Macaca mulatta: one gene and its partner. The protein of the gene in region 2 interacts with the protein of the main gene of each other region in a pairwise test. Links are inferred from orthologs where the notes say so. Each region holds a gene or a part of one and is shown on either strand. Other genes may lie near its edges.

Region 1 (7,347 bases), on a different chromosome or scaffold from region 2:
TGTGTCTTCTTCTGGACCATCCCGGCAAGGACCAGTGAGTCTTTCATGAGGTGGGTGCAGTGACCAGGATGGCCAGCAGAGGCCGCACGGAGATGCGCCCCCAGGGCATGGCAGGTGGAATCCTGTTGTGTTGGTGCACTTGGCAGCCTGAGTGTGAGGACAGCATGGCGGCAGCCAGAGACTCGCATTTTGGGTCTGACTCTTCCCCTCTGTGGGCCTCAGTTTTTTCTTTTTCTTTTTTTTTTTTTTTTTTTGAGACGGAGTCTCGCTCTGTCACCCAGGCTGGAGTGCAGTGGCTGGATCTCAGCTCACTGCAAGCTCCGCCTCCCGGGTTCACGCCATTCTCCTGCCTCAGCCTCCCGAGTAGCTGGGACTACAGGCGCCCGCCACCGCGCCCGGCTAAGTTTTTTTTGTATTTTTAGTAGAGACGGGGTTTCACCGTGTTAGCCAGGATGGTCTCGATCTCCTGACCTCGTGATCCACCCGTCTCGGCCTCCCAAAGTGCTGGGATTACAGGCTTGAGCCACCGCGCCCGGCCGGGCCTCAGTTTTTTCATCTGTAAAGTGGAGGGAGGTGGCTTGGAACCCCTGGATGGTTGCTAGGCAACTTTGCTGCATCAACATCCTGGGGACCTTTCTGATTGATGCTGGGGGAAGGGAACTGTCTTGAACTCCCTTTGGCAGAAAAAATTCGCCCAGCAGCCTTAGGCAATGGAGCAAGATTACTCCAGGGCCCTTCCTCAGACGTGACTGAGAAAACAGAGCCCACTAGGCACCAGCTTACAGAGGGGACTCACCCCTGGGAGAAAGCAGGGCTTCAAATCAGGCTGCCCATGAGCTGCCTGTGGTGATGTGGGACATGGAGACCCCTCTGGGCCTCCGGAGGGCCCTCATGGAGACCCCTCTGGAGGCCCAGAGCCCAGGTGACGGGCGGCAGCCTCCTGGAGTACGTTTCTGCCCATCTCTGGAAAAGCCCAGGCAGGCCTTGGTGGGAAGAGAGAACACGCACCCTCCTGCCCTCCACAGCTGCAGACCCTGGCAACAAGCCTGGAGGCTCAGTCATCCTCCTTGCTCGGGGGGACTCTCCTGCCCTAGTTCTCAGCCCTGCCTCTCCACCAGCTCCTCATTCTGGACTGAGCTAGGAGAGCAGGGTAAAGGCCTAGGGATCTCTTCAAAGATGCATAGCATGGGGGCTCGAAGACACTCCAGAGAACAGGGCCCAGGACCCAGTCCTCACAAGCACAGAGAAGACCCCTCCCGCCCCACCCCCACCCCCCACTCTTCATACCCAAAGCATTAAAGGACAAGACACAGGCATGACACTGGTGGAGAACATTCTCTACAAAAGTGGTAATGAGCCTGCAGGAGGGATTCGGGCTACAGTGGTGGGCACACAGAGCCTGCTCCACCCCAGCACTGGCTAGAATCAGGAGGGGCTGCGGCAGTAAATGGACAAGGAATGGGAGAGAAGGGGCAGCACCTGGGGCTCTGGGAAAAACAAGTCGGCACTTGGGGGTGGCCCCAGGCTCAGGCCCAGAGAACAGGGAGAAGCACTGCGGTGGGCTCCAGATAGCAGTGGCAGGCAGCCAAGCCCTCAGTGTCCTGCAATAGGACAGGGACCATCTCCTCCATGCCTCCACTCTGGGCATGTATATGGGAATGGGAACCCCCGGACAGACCAAAAAGAGGCCTTTGAGGGCTCTCTTTCCCCTACCCCAGCCAAGGGGGCCCCGGGAGGAGCTGGGGACTATGGCCATGCTCCCAGCAGGAGCTGCTTCCCAAGCTGAGGTCAGGGATGGGGGGCCATGGCTGAGGAAGGAGGAGAGCACCTCTGCATGGGGTGCGAAGGGGCACACACATGTCAGCGGGCTCCTGAGGGACTCTCCCATATCTGTGACCTCGGTCTGGCTGGAGAGCTCTGGGGGCACATGTCTGAGGACACATGCTCTGACCACCCTCTGAGCTGGCCTTTCCCCTGGTCTCACCATCACAGGGCTGGGACACAGGCGAGCTCTCCCTTAGCCCCGATCCAGCAGCCCAGCCCCTCTTTGGTAAAGAGGGAAACTTACCAAACAACACCCAAGGTGAGCGCGCACACACGCACGCATGCACACACACACGCATAAACACACACACATGTGCACGCATGCACACACATGCATAAACACACACAAACACGCGCACACATGCACACACATGCATAAACACAAACACGTGCGCACACATGCACGCACACACACATGCATGTGCGTGCACACGTACGCAAGAACACACACACAAGCACACACACACCACACACGTACACACACATGCACGCACACACATGCATACACGCACACACACAGCCCTGGTGACCTGGGGATAATCTGCAGTTTAGATTATCCACTTTCTCCAGTGTCCATATCGCAGGACTTACCCAACCCAGGCCCAACACCCAGCCACACCCTGTTCTGCCTGTCCCAGGCCTGGGAGACTGAGGAGGTTGGCAGACACCTTTCTCTGGCCCAGCGCATGCCTGCCAGGCCTGGGGGCTATAACACTGCAGCCTGTTGGTCTAGCACCTTGCATCTAGTGCCCTGGCCCTCTGGGGTCCCTGGCGGGGCCAGGCTGCACAATGAAAAAGCGGGAGGCTGGAGGAAGACAGGCCAGGCTCCATCCCTGGATGAGCTGGGAAGGGCGTCAGTACCCCCAGCCTGGCTCTCCAGCTCCGGGCCTTGGCCACTGGCTGAAGGAGGGGATGCTGGCTGTGCTTGGAATGGGTGCAGACTGAAAGTTGGGGCATTTGGCTGAAGAGTCTGGCTGAGGAACTTCCCCTCTGGGGTGGACTGGAAGAGGGGAGGCAGCCCAAACTCTTCCCTTCACAAAAATGCAGGAAGTGAGCAACTCTCCGGCCTGAGCACAAGAGAACAAGACCATCAGGGGAGGGGCCCGGGACAGGCATGCCCTCCGGCATTCACCTCCCACACTCCCATCCAGTTCCATGCCCCTGCCCTCCCTCTGGGGTAAGCCTCCCCCAAGTATACATGTCCTTTAGGGCTGCTCAGAATGGGTGGCTCAGGGCCTTTGTGACCCCTCAGAACTGGAGGGGACATTCTCTTGCCCCTCTGGTGCCTCCAGGCTACACCCTCTGCTTCAAGGTGTGGACAGCCTTTCAAAGGAGTCGACCCACGTGGTCCTTGCTCCTGGGGAAGGGGGCTGCAGGACTGGCGACTGTGAGGACCTTGAGGCCCCACCACAGGTTGTGGCAACTTGCAATTCATTTTGGTCTGGGGAGAGGAGCCCCCCGTTATCTGTGGAGGAAGAGACAGAAAGAAACAGATTTCACGTGAGGTCCTTTAGAGGCATCATTTTCACCCAGGACAGCCATCTGGACAACTTAGCCTTCCCATCTCTCAGCAGGTTGATGGTCAGGGATGGAGGATGCCAGCCTACGGGTGACCTCCCCATCCCCAAAACTCTAAACCAGCCTGCCTCCCCACACCCTCCCTGCCCCAGCCACTCAGGATAAAGGCCATAGATACCTAAGAGGAAATGAGGACAGCATTTGTTGGGCTTGTGGGATGCTGCAGGGGAGGGGCCAGGGCAGGGGCTGGCCACAGCATGACCATTGTGGCAGCGGCCTTGGCCAACTATGACGGGCTTTGGAACATGAACTCTGCCTCCAGAGCATTTGGGAGCATTTGCCCACGTTCCTGGTTGCAGAGTTCAGGAATAGCAGGTAAAACATCTGCCTAAAGCCGGGCGCGGTGGCTCACGCCTGTAATCCCAGCACTTTGGGAGGCCGAAGTGGACAGATCACCTGAGGTCAGAAGTTCGAGATAAGCCTGGCCAACATGGCAAAACCACATCTCTACTAAAAATACAAAAATTAGCTGGGCATGGTAGTGCACCCCTGTAATCCCAGCTACTCAGGAGGCTGAGGCAGGAGAATTTCGTGAACCCGGGAGGTGGAGGTTGCAGTGAACTGAGATTGTGCCACTGCACTCCAGCCTGGGCAACAAGAGGGAAACTGTCTTAAAAAAAAAAAAAAAAAAAAAAAAAAAAATCTGCCTGAGGTCTTGGGCAACTGAGAGGCCCTGCTGACTGCAAGCCCTGCATCCCATGGGAGCCACCTTGACCCCAGGCTCTAAAGCCATGCAGACCAGGGATCAAGCCCAGCTCCATGTTGAGCAGCAGCAGGACCTTGAGGTGAGCTATTCTAACTGTCTGAGCCTCCACTTGCTCATCCGCTATAAAATGGGAACGATATAATCCACCAATACAGTCCGGGCACACGGGCTTTTAGAGGGATTAAGCAAGAGAACTTGTTCAAGGGCACAACCCAGCACCTGGGAGGTGGGAGGGCTCAAAAACACCCCAACTGTGATTCCCGTGACTGTTGAAACTCGGTGACACTAAGAGGACCATTTCCCCACATGTTGATGTCCCCAAAATCGAGGTGCACTTTACACTAGCTGTGATAAGAATGCCTTGGGTCATCATTAAATTGGCAACTTCTTTTTCTGAGCTGGTGGTAAATAAAATAAGGGGGCCTTTTATCATCGATGGCCCCATTTCGATTTTATGAAATACAGTAGCCCCCACCCCCTACTCCTGAATAGGCAGATCTGTACTCCCTCCCCAGGGGCCTTCCAACTCCTGTTCCTCCATCCCCCTGCCAGGCTGGACACTCACAGCTCTGTGTCCTCCAGGGCCGGTGGGCGCTCCATCGCCTGCCGCCGCCTCCTCACGGCCCCCAAGATCTTCTTTCGGGGCCCCAGGGGGACGCTGATGCTGCGGAGGTCGAGGTCAGAACATAGCATCAGAGCCTCGAGGTCAATCTTCTCCTGCCGCAGGAGGGCGGCAAAGTCCTCCATGTGCAGAGAGGCCAGAAAGGTCTCCAGCGGGCCGGTCTCGGGCTCCAGGTCCTCGTCCAAGCCTAAGTCCAGCTCGTCCCAGGGCAGCTCCTCCCCACAGCTGCGGTCCTGCAGGCTGTTGGCACTGCCCAGGCTGTCATCGTCCAGGCTAGGGGAGCTCTGCAGCCGACCCCGAGGCGCTCCCATCCCGTCCAGCCCCCCATCCTCGCGGCCCAGTCCGTGCAGCCCACTGCTCAAGTAATTTCTGCGGAACACCATGGTGCCCAGGCCGGGGCGGGTAAAGAGGGAGTCGTGGCCTGAGTCGGTGCTGACCTCCGAGTGGGCAGGCTCGGCTGCCAGCGTGGCACGGGAGACGCTGTCCTCGTCCGAGAGGAACATGTCCCGGAGCGGGGCTCGGCCCCACTCCTTGGGATTGGCGTAGGTGCCCTGGCGCACGAACATCACGTCGTTGCCCAGCTGCAGGCCCGAGAGCGAGCGGGCGCTCTTGCGCCCATCCTCGGAGACTTTGAAAGTGCCTTCGCCGCCCTGCTTGCGCCGCTCCAGCTTCTTCTGCATCTTGGTCTTGCCCCTGGCCGTGCCGTGCAGCGTGGCCTGCGAGTACGGCAGGTGGCTGCCCAGCGCCAGGTGCTGCAGCCGGCGGCTCAGGGTGCTGGACGTGAGGCTGGAGAAACTGAGGGTGTCGGAGCGCTCGGCCAGCTCGCGCCGGTAGCGCCGCTCCATGCGTTCGTGGTGCTTGCGCTGCAGCTTGGCGCACTCGCGGATGCGCCGCTCCGCCTCGCGGAAGGCCTTGTCCTTCAGCTTACCCACTAGCTTGGGGTTGAGGCTGCTCTGCTTGGCCGCGATGGAGTCCAGGTAGCGCACGCATTCCATGTGGCCCTTCATGGCAGCCATGTCCAGCGGCGTGTGGTAGTCGTTGTCTAGGCACCAGATGTTGGCCCCGAAGGACACCAGGAAGGACAGGCAGTGCAAGTGGCCATTGGAAGCTGCCAGATGCAGGGGTGTGTTGCCCCAGATGTCACACTTGTCCGGGTCACCCCTGCAGGGAAAGCATCCAGGAGGGACTAGTGACGAGTCCTGGCTGGGGATGGAGGTGGAGGGAGTGGAGGGGGGAAGGGAGCTCCCCCACTGTCACAGCAACCCCCAAAGGGACCGTGGGCCTGAGACCTCTTCGACTCCAGGAGACCTGCAGGCCTGAGCCACCCAACAGGTGAGCCCAGGGGTGAGTCCAGGGGAAAATGGCCCCAGGTGTGCAGGGGGTGGGGTGTCAGAGAAGGCGGGACTGGGGCGGGACCTTCCCCAAGCTAACTGAGGACTGGGAATCTCAGGGGATAAATATTTGATGCCCTGAGAGAAGGGAGTAAATTATTCATGAGGCCCAGCACAGAGCTGGCCAGAGCACTGGGGGGCCAGGGCCGCGTCTGGGTCTCTAGGCAGGCATGGTGGTGAGTGTGGCTGCGTGTGCCGAGTGACCGTAAAAGAGAACAGACCAGAGGGTGATGTGTACCGGGCCCCAGCCCCGGGTTAGCGTGTGTGAGGTGTGGGCTTGTGTGTCAGCAGGCAGGGCCCTGTCTGCAGGGAGCAGGGCCAGCCCTGGCAAGCCCGAGTGTGAGAGGAAGTGTCGGGCCTTGGCCTGGGCCAGGAGGGGAGTGCGGGGGCAGCCAGGACTGGAGGGGAGGAGGAGGGAAATCAGCTGCCTGCGCTCGGAAGCCCTCCCTTCCCCAGGCTGCCCCCTCTTTGTTATCCCTTCAAGGCTGTCTCACTTGAGCCTGTCCAGGACCCCTGACAGCCCCCACAAGCACCCCTCACACCAGACTGTGTCCCTCAGGGCAAGCTCCCAAGACTCCTCCGGAGCTCTCCCTCCCCTGGGGGCCCAGCACAGCACCCCTGCCCTGCACTAATGAGGCCACGAGGCCAACCCCCAGGGCTGGGGGAAGAATCACTCCCTTGTCTCAACAGCTCCTCACACACTCCCTCCTGGGCCTCCCCTCCTGGCCACCAAGTCCTACAGGCCAGTGTGGGAAGGGCCTGCCAGCACCCGACCCACACCCCATCAAACACCAATCCTGGTCTCTGGAGGAGTTGGGGCTTGGCATACCCAAGGGGAGACCTCTTCCCCTTCTCCCTTCCTCCCATGAGCCTCTCTGAAGGGATGGCAGGGGACAGTGTCACTGTGTGCTCTCCTGGGATGAGGAGGGGCCAGTCAGCCTTGGCCTCCCGGGACATGGCTCAGCTGCCCAGGCTTCGAGGCTGCTCCCACCTGATGCTGGGCCCAAGGAGCAGCCCAAGGAGGGGGCAAGAGGGAGGGGTCTCCAGCACCCACTACATGATCAGGCCATAGGCCAGTGCCTGGGCCCCAGCCCTCTCTCCCATGACCTGAGACTTCATATCAACCCTCCTGGGGTGTCCTGTCCACCCCTCATCCTGTCCAGGCCGCCCTGGTGTTCAGACCAACCTGACTCCTCTTTATAAAGCCATTGGGGCTGAGGGAGTTG
Region 2 (7,347 bases):
TTTATGAATTGATCACCCCATTTATTCTCTTAGGTCATCATTTCAATCGTCCTGGACAGGGACGAGCTTTATCACTATAGGCAGGGCAGCCCTGTGGGGACTTGCCAGATTGCCTGGGGGTGATCCCAGCTTGGCCACGTGTGACTTTGGACACAAGTGGCTTCACCTCTCTGAGTGTCAGTCTCCACACCTGTAAAATGGGGTTAATACTCTCTACCTCTACCTCCCAGGGCTATTGTAGGAATTAAGAAACATAAACAAGGCCCTAATACAACGCCAGCCTTATAGAGGTACTTGACAAATGTTAGCTAGTAGCTAATCCTAGCTAGCTAGAGCCTACTGCTAGTAGGATGCTTATTTTCCACATTCTTGGAATCTTGGAAGTCAGGGGTCTCTGCTCAGCAAGGAGGAAGGGGCCAAGGATGGATACACTGACCCACCACCAAACTCATCTGGTCTGAGGACTGGCCTCCAGGGAGGAGGAGGAAATTAGCTGGGGACACAGCAGGCAGGACACAAGCTAGGTGGGGTTGTATGGTGGGGCAGGGCACCCAGGGCTGGCTGCACTCACTGCCGCTCCATCTCCTGCTGCTCCTGGAGGATCTTGTTGGACTCCATCGCCAGCCGCTTCTGCATGAGGAGCTCTTGCCGCTGCAGCTCACGCTGCCGCGCCTCTGCCAGCCGCTCCCGGTCTGTCATGAACAGCTCCCGGCCCTCGTGGGAGAAAAGAGGCCCCTTGCTCAGCCCCTGGGGATCCCCTGCCACACCCTTGGGGGCCGAGATGCAGGTGGTCTTCTCAGCACCATCAGGCACAGTGGCTCCTGCAATCCCTGACCCAAACTTGTTGCTGGGCAGAAGTCCTCTCCCTCCGTCTGCTCTGTCAGAGCTTCAGGGAAGGAGACCTGCCACCCTGGGAGTGTGTGGCAGAGATCAAAGGTCAGAGGGGCTGGGGATGAGGGTCAAGGGGCTCCCACCAGCTCGTTCTGGACTTACAGCTCCAGCTACGATGGAGATGGTCAGGCTGCGGCTACTCTTCAGCACGTTCACAGCCTGTGGGGACAGAAGGACAGTGGATCGAGGCCTGACAGACCAGAGCAGTCCAGGCAGAGAGCACAGAAGGCCCCAGGCTTCAGGGTGGTGGGGGTGAGAAGTGGGGTGTGGAGATGACAAAGGCCAGCAGGTGAAGACCCCTACATCTCACCTCCTTGTGGTCCAGGTTAGAGAAGTCGATGCCATTCACTTCGACAATCTGGTCCCCTGTCTGGTGGGGAAGTGGAAAAAGATTAGTGTGTTTACGCTATCTGTACACTCGTTCATCTGCAGGATGGGCGCCCCCAGGGGTTCTGGGTCAGATGCTGGGTCTTCAAGTGGCTGTACCTCAGTTCCTCCTGATGAATGGAGCAGTTGGAAAGCTCTGGTGGAGCTCTGGGAGGGCTTAAAGCTGACCCTGGCACTCCCCTACTTCATAACTACCTTATCAACTATCAAATATTATACCATTACATGTTCTTTTTTTGGCTAAATTTGATGACACTTGCTTTAGAAATCACAGTTTGTAGATGCGGAAACTTTTGAGCTTCTCATTTAGCAGAGGCTGTGTTGAATCATCATAACAGAATAGCTAACATTCACTGATCACTTACAGTGTGCTTGGCACAGTTCTAGTATACATATTAACTACTTTAACCCACACAACAACCTTGGAAGAAAGGCTTTATTATCCCCATCTTATAGGTAAGGAAACTGAAGCACAGAGACATGAAGTAACTTGTCCAAAGAAGAGGTTAAGGGTTCCTGCTTTGGGATGAGACCACCTAGGTTTGAATTCCAGTCCTACCATGCTAGGTACATGATTTCAGAAAAATCATATACTTTCTCTGGGTCTCAGTTTCCTCATATGTAAAGTGGGGATAATGGTGGCACTTAATCCTCAGCGTTCTTGTGAAGTGTAAAGGGCGTGGAACAATGTCCGATGCAAGTGGACCCTGAAGGTCCGCTCTTTGATTATCATTATGACATTCCCAAGCTCACGACCAACAACCATCAGAGCTATGGAAGGCTGCAGAAGGGTCAAATGTCCCCACTCTGTGAAGCCTTCTCTGCAGGGTGGGTAGGGCTCCTCCTGATCAGTGACCGCCGAAAGAGGGCCATGTGGAAAGGCACCTGCCCCTGTCACCGCGGGATCACAGTCTGACCCAGTTTCCAGTGGGCCCCCACTGGGGCCGGCCCAGCGTCACTCACCTCCAATCCCACCTCAGCAGACAGGGAGCCAGGTTTCACGTGGCTGATGAAGATGCCAGGCTTCTGGATGGGGCCGCTGGAAATGCTGTGGGAGGTGGGAAATGTGTGCTTAGGATACAGGTCACTCATGAACTCAGGACTGAAGGCCCTCGGCTGCCTACCTCTTCAGCCTCTGTCTCCCCGTCCAGCCTGATTTCTACTGCTACCCTGGGCAACAGCCACAGAAAACTCCTTGTAATTCTTCCTACCCAATCTCTCACCTAATATACCTCATATGTTGTTTCTTTTTTCTTTCTAACGCTTTCCTGTCCATTCCTTAAGAACCAAATGCTATCCCTTCTATAAGGTTTTCAGCAGATCCTCTTTTTTAAAAAATTTATTTTTTAGAGACAGGGTCTTGCTCTGTCACCCAGGTTGGAGTGCAGTGGTGTGATCATAGCTCTCCACAGCCTCCAACTCCTGGGCTCAAGCAATCCTCCCACCTCAACCTCTTGACTAGCTACGACTACAGGTGCACACCACCATGCCTGGCTCAGATCCCTTATTCTATCCCAAGACCAAGCTATTTGCTCGGTTCTCAGTGCTCCTATGACATTTACGACAGGAATGGCACATGTACTGTTATTATTCCTTCCTAGATTGGTGGCAGAAATCACTCACTGATCACAGCACTCTTTCCCTCAAGCCTGGATATAGCTTTAGAATCCTTTTCAAAGCAGCACTCCAGGGAGCTCCTACTAATTGATTAGAGATGGCACCTATTTGCCATCCCGGACACAGAATGTAGTTCCATTTGAGTCCCTATCACCCTATATTATAACTGTTTATGTGGTTGGCTTCTAGATTAGGCTCTTGTCTCCCAGAAGGGAGGGACTCTTTATCACTTATGCTTGGCACAAAACATGGAATAAATGTGAATGAAGGGAAAGAAGAGGAATAACTCAAATCATAACAGCTAGTATTTACCAACTGCTTACTGTTTAGCAGGTACTAAGCTTGGTACTTTACTTTCTCCACAATCACCCTGTGATGTGGGAATTATTATCATCAATTTATAGAGGGAGAAACTGAGGCTCCAAGTGGTTAAGTAACTGGCCCAAGGTTCCAGAGCTCTTAAGTAGGAAAGCAGGGCTGGAACTGGGATCTGAGTAACGGTGGAACCTGCACGCTTGAGCCCCGTGTGGCCCAGTATCTGTTTGGATTCCCCGTCTGCCTCTTAACGAAGCCGACAAGGTAATAAGTGATAAGAGAACTGTGACAGAGATGACCAGCTGAACAGGCTCCTTTTGCAGTGACTCAAGGACCTACAAGGTAACATGGTTCTGCCTCTAGGCCTCAATTTCTTTATCCGTAAACTGGGATCTATTAGAGATGCCCCTCGGGCCCTACAGGCCTGTCGTGAAATTCAGAGGGGAAATCAGGCACCAGGAAGTGTCATCACCAAGGCTGGGCGCGGTGCTTCATGCCTCTAATCCCAGCACTCCGGGAGGCTGAGGTGGGAGGATCATTTGAGCCCAGGAATTTGAGACCAGCCTTGGCAACATAACAAAACTCCTTCTCTACAAAAAAATTAAAAGTTAGCTGGGTGTCATGGTGTGTTTCTGTAGACCCAGCTACTCAGGAGGCTGAGGTGGGAGGATTGCTTGAGCTGGGGAGGTCGAGGCTACAGTGAGCTATGATCACGCCATTGCACTCCAGCCCAGGTGACAGAGCCAGACCCTGTCTCTAACAAAAAAATACCATCACCCATGGACAAGTCACACCCCTGGTGGGCAAGGTTTCCTCAGAAGCAGCAGTGAGGAAGGGGAGGGTAATAGGGGCCTGCTGGGGTGCACTGGCCACGAATGACCCCGGGGCATGCCCACCACCCACCTGCAGCCAAGGCCCCGGGAGCCCACCAGGCTGATGAAGACCTTCTTCTCCTTGTTTTCCCGATTTCCAGGGGAGCCCAGGCTGCCTCGCCCCCCCTGAAAGGGAGATAGAAGCAGAATCTCTGAGTGTCCACATGCGTGCAAGCGGCCTCTTGAGCTCGTGGGACCTGCAGGGCGAGCACTGCTGAACTCACACCAGCCAGATCATCATTCTGTCCCTGGGGATGTGTCTGCACCAGCCTGGCCTGGCTGAGGGCCACTGCCCCACAGCAGTGTGCTGGCTGCCCTGGGGGCCTGTGTGAAGTCCCTGAGAGTGCATCTCTAGAGCAAGCCCTCCCTTTAGGACTGGCCGCCCATCCTTGAAGATGACCCCACCCAAACCCCATCACAGGAGGTCTGGCCCTTACCCCAGATTCTGACACAAACTGATCCACATACTGCCACTTGAGGGGCTCATCAGGAGAGCTGATGGGAAGGGAAAATAGATGGAAGGGTGGTTAGCGAGAGACGTTTGACGAACCAGGCCCCAAATCCAGATCCACCATGTCTACAACCTCCAGCCTCCACTGGCCCAGGAGCAGGGCTGGCATGGTGAGTGCTGGACCCCAGGGCTGTACCAGGACCCCGGGCCCACAGGGAAGAGTCGGCCTGCAGAGGAGGGGCCTCTCACCTCTTCACGGGGATCAGGCCAATGTCTGTGGGAGAAAGGCACAGGGGTTAGGACAGCTCCTCCACCCTCCCTCCCTCCCACCATCATGGAGCCCTGTCCTGCTCTAGTCTCACTCACGTCTCACTTTGATGGACACAGTTTTCTTGGTTCGGATGAGGTTGATGACCTCCTCATGGGTACAGGAGGAGATGGAATATCCATTGATCCGGACGATCTCGTCCCCTACCTTGACCACAGAGAGAGGCAGGGAGCACTGGCTGGAGGGAGCATCAGGCAGTGGGGCAGACTCACCACCAGATGCTCCCAGACTGCTATCCGGAAAAGGGAAGGGTGGCCATGCCATCCCCTGGAATAAGCCTTGATCTCAACCAACCCACCCTCCATCAGCCTGGGGGATCCCAGGTTCAGGTGGCATGTCCAAGCAGTCTTGCCGCCCCATTTTGCAGATGGAGAGACCAAGACAGAGGTGAGGGGCACAGCAGGTGTGCAGCAGAGCTGGGAGAAGATCTCAGAACTCTCTGCACCCTCACCCTGGTGCCCCTTTCACTCCACTGGGGCACCATCAGATTCTGGATTCTATGCAAAGGGTGACCTTTCACTCAGCTTTAAGCTGTTCTTACCGGGACTTTGTCCCAACCCGCCCCTAGGAAGTTGGCTCCCTTTTTCTGCTAATTGCTACAACACTGTAAGTGAGTCAGGGTGGGGACCTTCTGTGACTCCTGACCCAAGCTCACATCACCGACACACACACACACACACACACGATTTTTTTTTCCCCACCATATGGAAACTTGATGAACATTTTAACTCTGCCGTGGCCCTGACCTCTCAATTCCTATTTTGGGAGCAAGCAAAGAACAGTGGATGAGCACAGGGCTTTGGCATCAGATGTGCTGGGTTCAAATCCCTTCTTTTATTATTATTAGCTATGTGACCTTGAGCAAGTCTCTTGAACTCTCTGAACCTGTTTTCCTCGTCTGTAAAATGAGGAATACCAAGGTTGCTGTGAGAATTAAGTGAACTTGTGCATGTAAAGCCAGCTAGTGCCTGGCACACAGTAAGCACTCAATACATGAGTGTTATTGTTATCATGAGTTAGTCCTGATCCCTGAATACTCAGCTCAGATCTCTCTTCTCAGGGCTTAGGCCACAGCGGATTGTGAGATAGGGACTCGGCCCTGGGCAGCCAGCCCTGGATACAGCGCTGTGGTGAGGTTGCCCCCTGCTGGACACTGCCGGCTCCTCCAGGCACCCTGGCCCTGGGGATCAATTCTGGAGCTCCTCATTTAATAACCACAGAGCAGGAGGGACTCTCAGATGTCAGCTGAAACTGAGGCCCAAGGAAGTGAGGTTTTGTCCAAGGTCACACAGCCAGTAGCTGCAAAACAGAGACTGGCTCCTGGAGAGGTTCCTGTCTGAGGCCAGTGCAGGTCAGCTGGGGGCTTAACTCAAAACACACATGCTCACCCTTTGGAGACTTGCTGGCATACGTGAGGGACGAAAGCTGGACTCCCTGTGGACCGAGATAGGTAGGGGCTGGGTGGACATACAGCCTCCGAGGGGTCCTCTAGGGTAACTCCTGCCTTCTACAGCACTCCCACAGAGTCACTTTCTCACTGTTCCAAGGAACGCTTCCTTCCCACTCTGGGACACAGACCCCAGTCTTCTCAGGGACCTGACAGGAGTGGCCAAGGGCTCAAAATGGCACCAGAGTGGGGGCACACTAAAGAACCCTCTAGGTTTCTGGGAACATCTAATTCAAGGACAGTGGCCAGACTAACTCCTTCCACCTATTTTTCACGATAACCCTGCAGGTCAGGAATTTGTATCTCTGTTAATCAGATGAGAAAACGGAGACTCAGAGAGGTAAAGTGACTTGCTCAAGGTTACCCCACTAGTAAACAGTGTCGTGGGGTTTGAAGTCAGGTCTCCCTGATAGACAAGTGGTGTTTCCTAGGTGTCTGGAAGCAGAAAAGACGGGCACCCGGCCAAGCCTGGCTGCAATTCCCTGCATCCTGCCCTCTCTGGATCCTTGCCACCTGTCAGAGCCCTCAAGTCCCACACAAAGGCAGGCATTACACTGTCCATGTTATGACAGGGACAACCAAGGCACACAGAATAATTTTCTAGGCCTGGAATATACAGCAAGTTGTATGGTACACGCTGCCCTGTGCAAGGCAGAGGACGTAGGTCAAGTTAGGATATTCTTGAAAAAACAAAAAACAAAAAACAAAAAAAACCTTCAAGTATCTCCAGCAGGGGATAAGGGCAGAGGGGTGGATCCCCAGGACTAGGTCCTGTGGGAGGGTCCAAGTCCACCACTGGGGACCCAGCCTCACGGGTCAAATCAGCACAGGTCTTTAGCCCAGCCAGGCTGTATCTGAACCTGCCCTCCCCTGCCTTCCAGCATCTTCTCCCAGCTGCCCTCAGGCATGAGATCTCCTCAGAAACATGAACCCCAGACAGGTCAATGGATGCAGCCATTTTCCCCCAAGCTCCTCTGAGTGAAGTTCCCTGTCTTATTCCTAAAGGGAATTTGCCCAGAACCTCAGTCGGAATGATTCC

What was found. The genes of interacting proteins can lie anywhere in the genome.
Region 1: the proteins of USH1C (region 2) and USH1G interact in binary tests that used the Homo sapiens proteins (3 or more experiments, as listed by UniProt). The link is inferred for Macaca mulatta from reciprocal best matches to the Homo sapiens genes USH1C and USH1G.

The regions. Positions count from the first base shown.
Region 1 is NC_133421.1:84,573,031-84,580,377, forward strand, and holds part of USH1G (pre-mRNA splicing regulator USH1G), read right to left. Parts: intron 5,892-7,347; coding exon 4,670-5,891; 3' UTR 4,508-4,669; intron 3,290-4,507; coding exon of another isoform or gene 3,286-3,289; exon of another isoform or gene 1,317-3,285; intron 1-1,316. UniProt on the Homo sapiens protein: Plays a role in pre-mRNA splicing by regulating the release and transfer of U4/U6.U5 tri-small nuclear ribonucleoprotein (tri-snRNP) complexes from their assembly site in Cajal bodies to nuclear speckles, thereby contributing to the assembly of the pre-catalytic spliceosome on target pre-mRNAs.
Region 2 is NC_133419.1:47,937,875-47,945,221, reverse strand, and holds part of USH1C (harmonin), read right to left. Parts: intron 5,009-7,347; coding exon 4,900-5,008; intron 4,808-4,899; coding exon 4,783-4,807; intron 4,578-4,782; coding exon 4,520-4,577; intron 4,209-4,519; coding exon 4,114-4,208; intron 2,327-4,113; coding exon 2,242-2,326; intron 1,262-2,241; coding exon 1,202-1,261; intron 1,051-1,201; coding exon 994-1,050; intron 715-993; coding exon 572-714; intron 1-571. UniProt on the Homo sapiens protein: Anchoring/scaffolding protein that is a part of the functional network formed by USH1C, USH1G, CDH23 and MYO7A that mediates mechanotransduction in cochlear hair cells. Required for normal development and maintenance of cochlear hair cell bundles.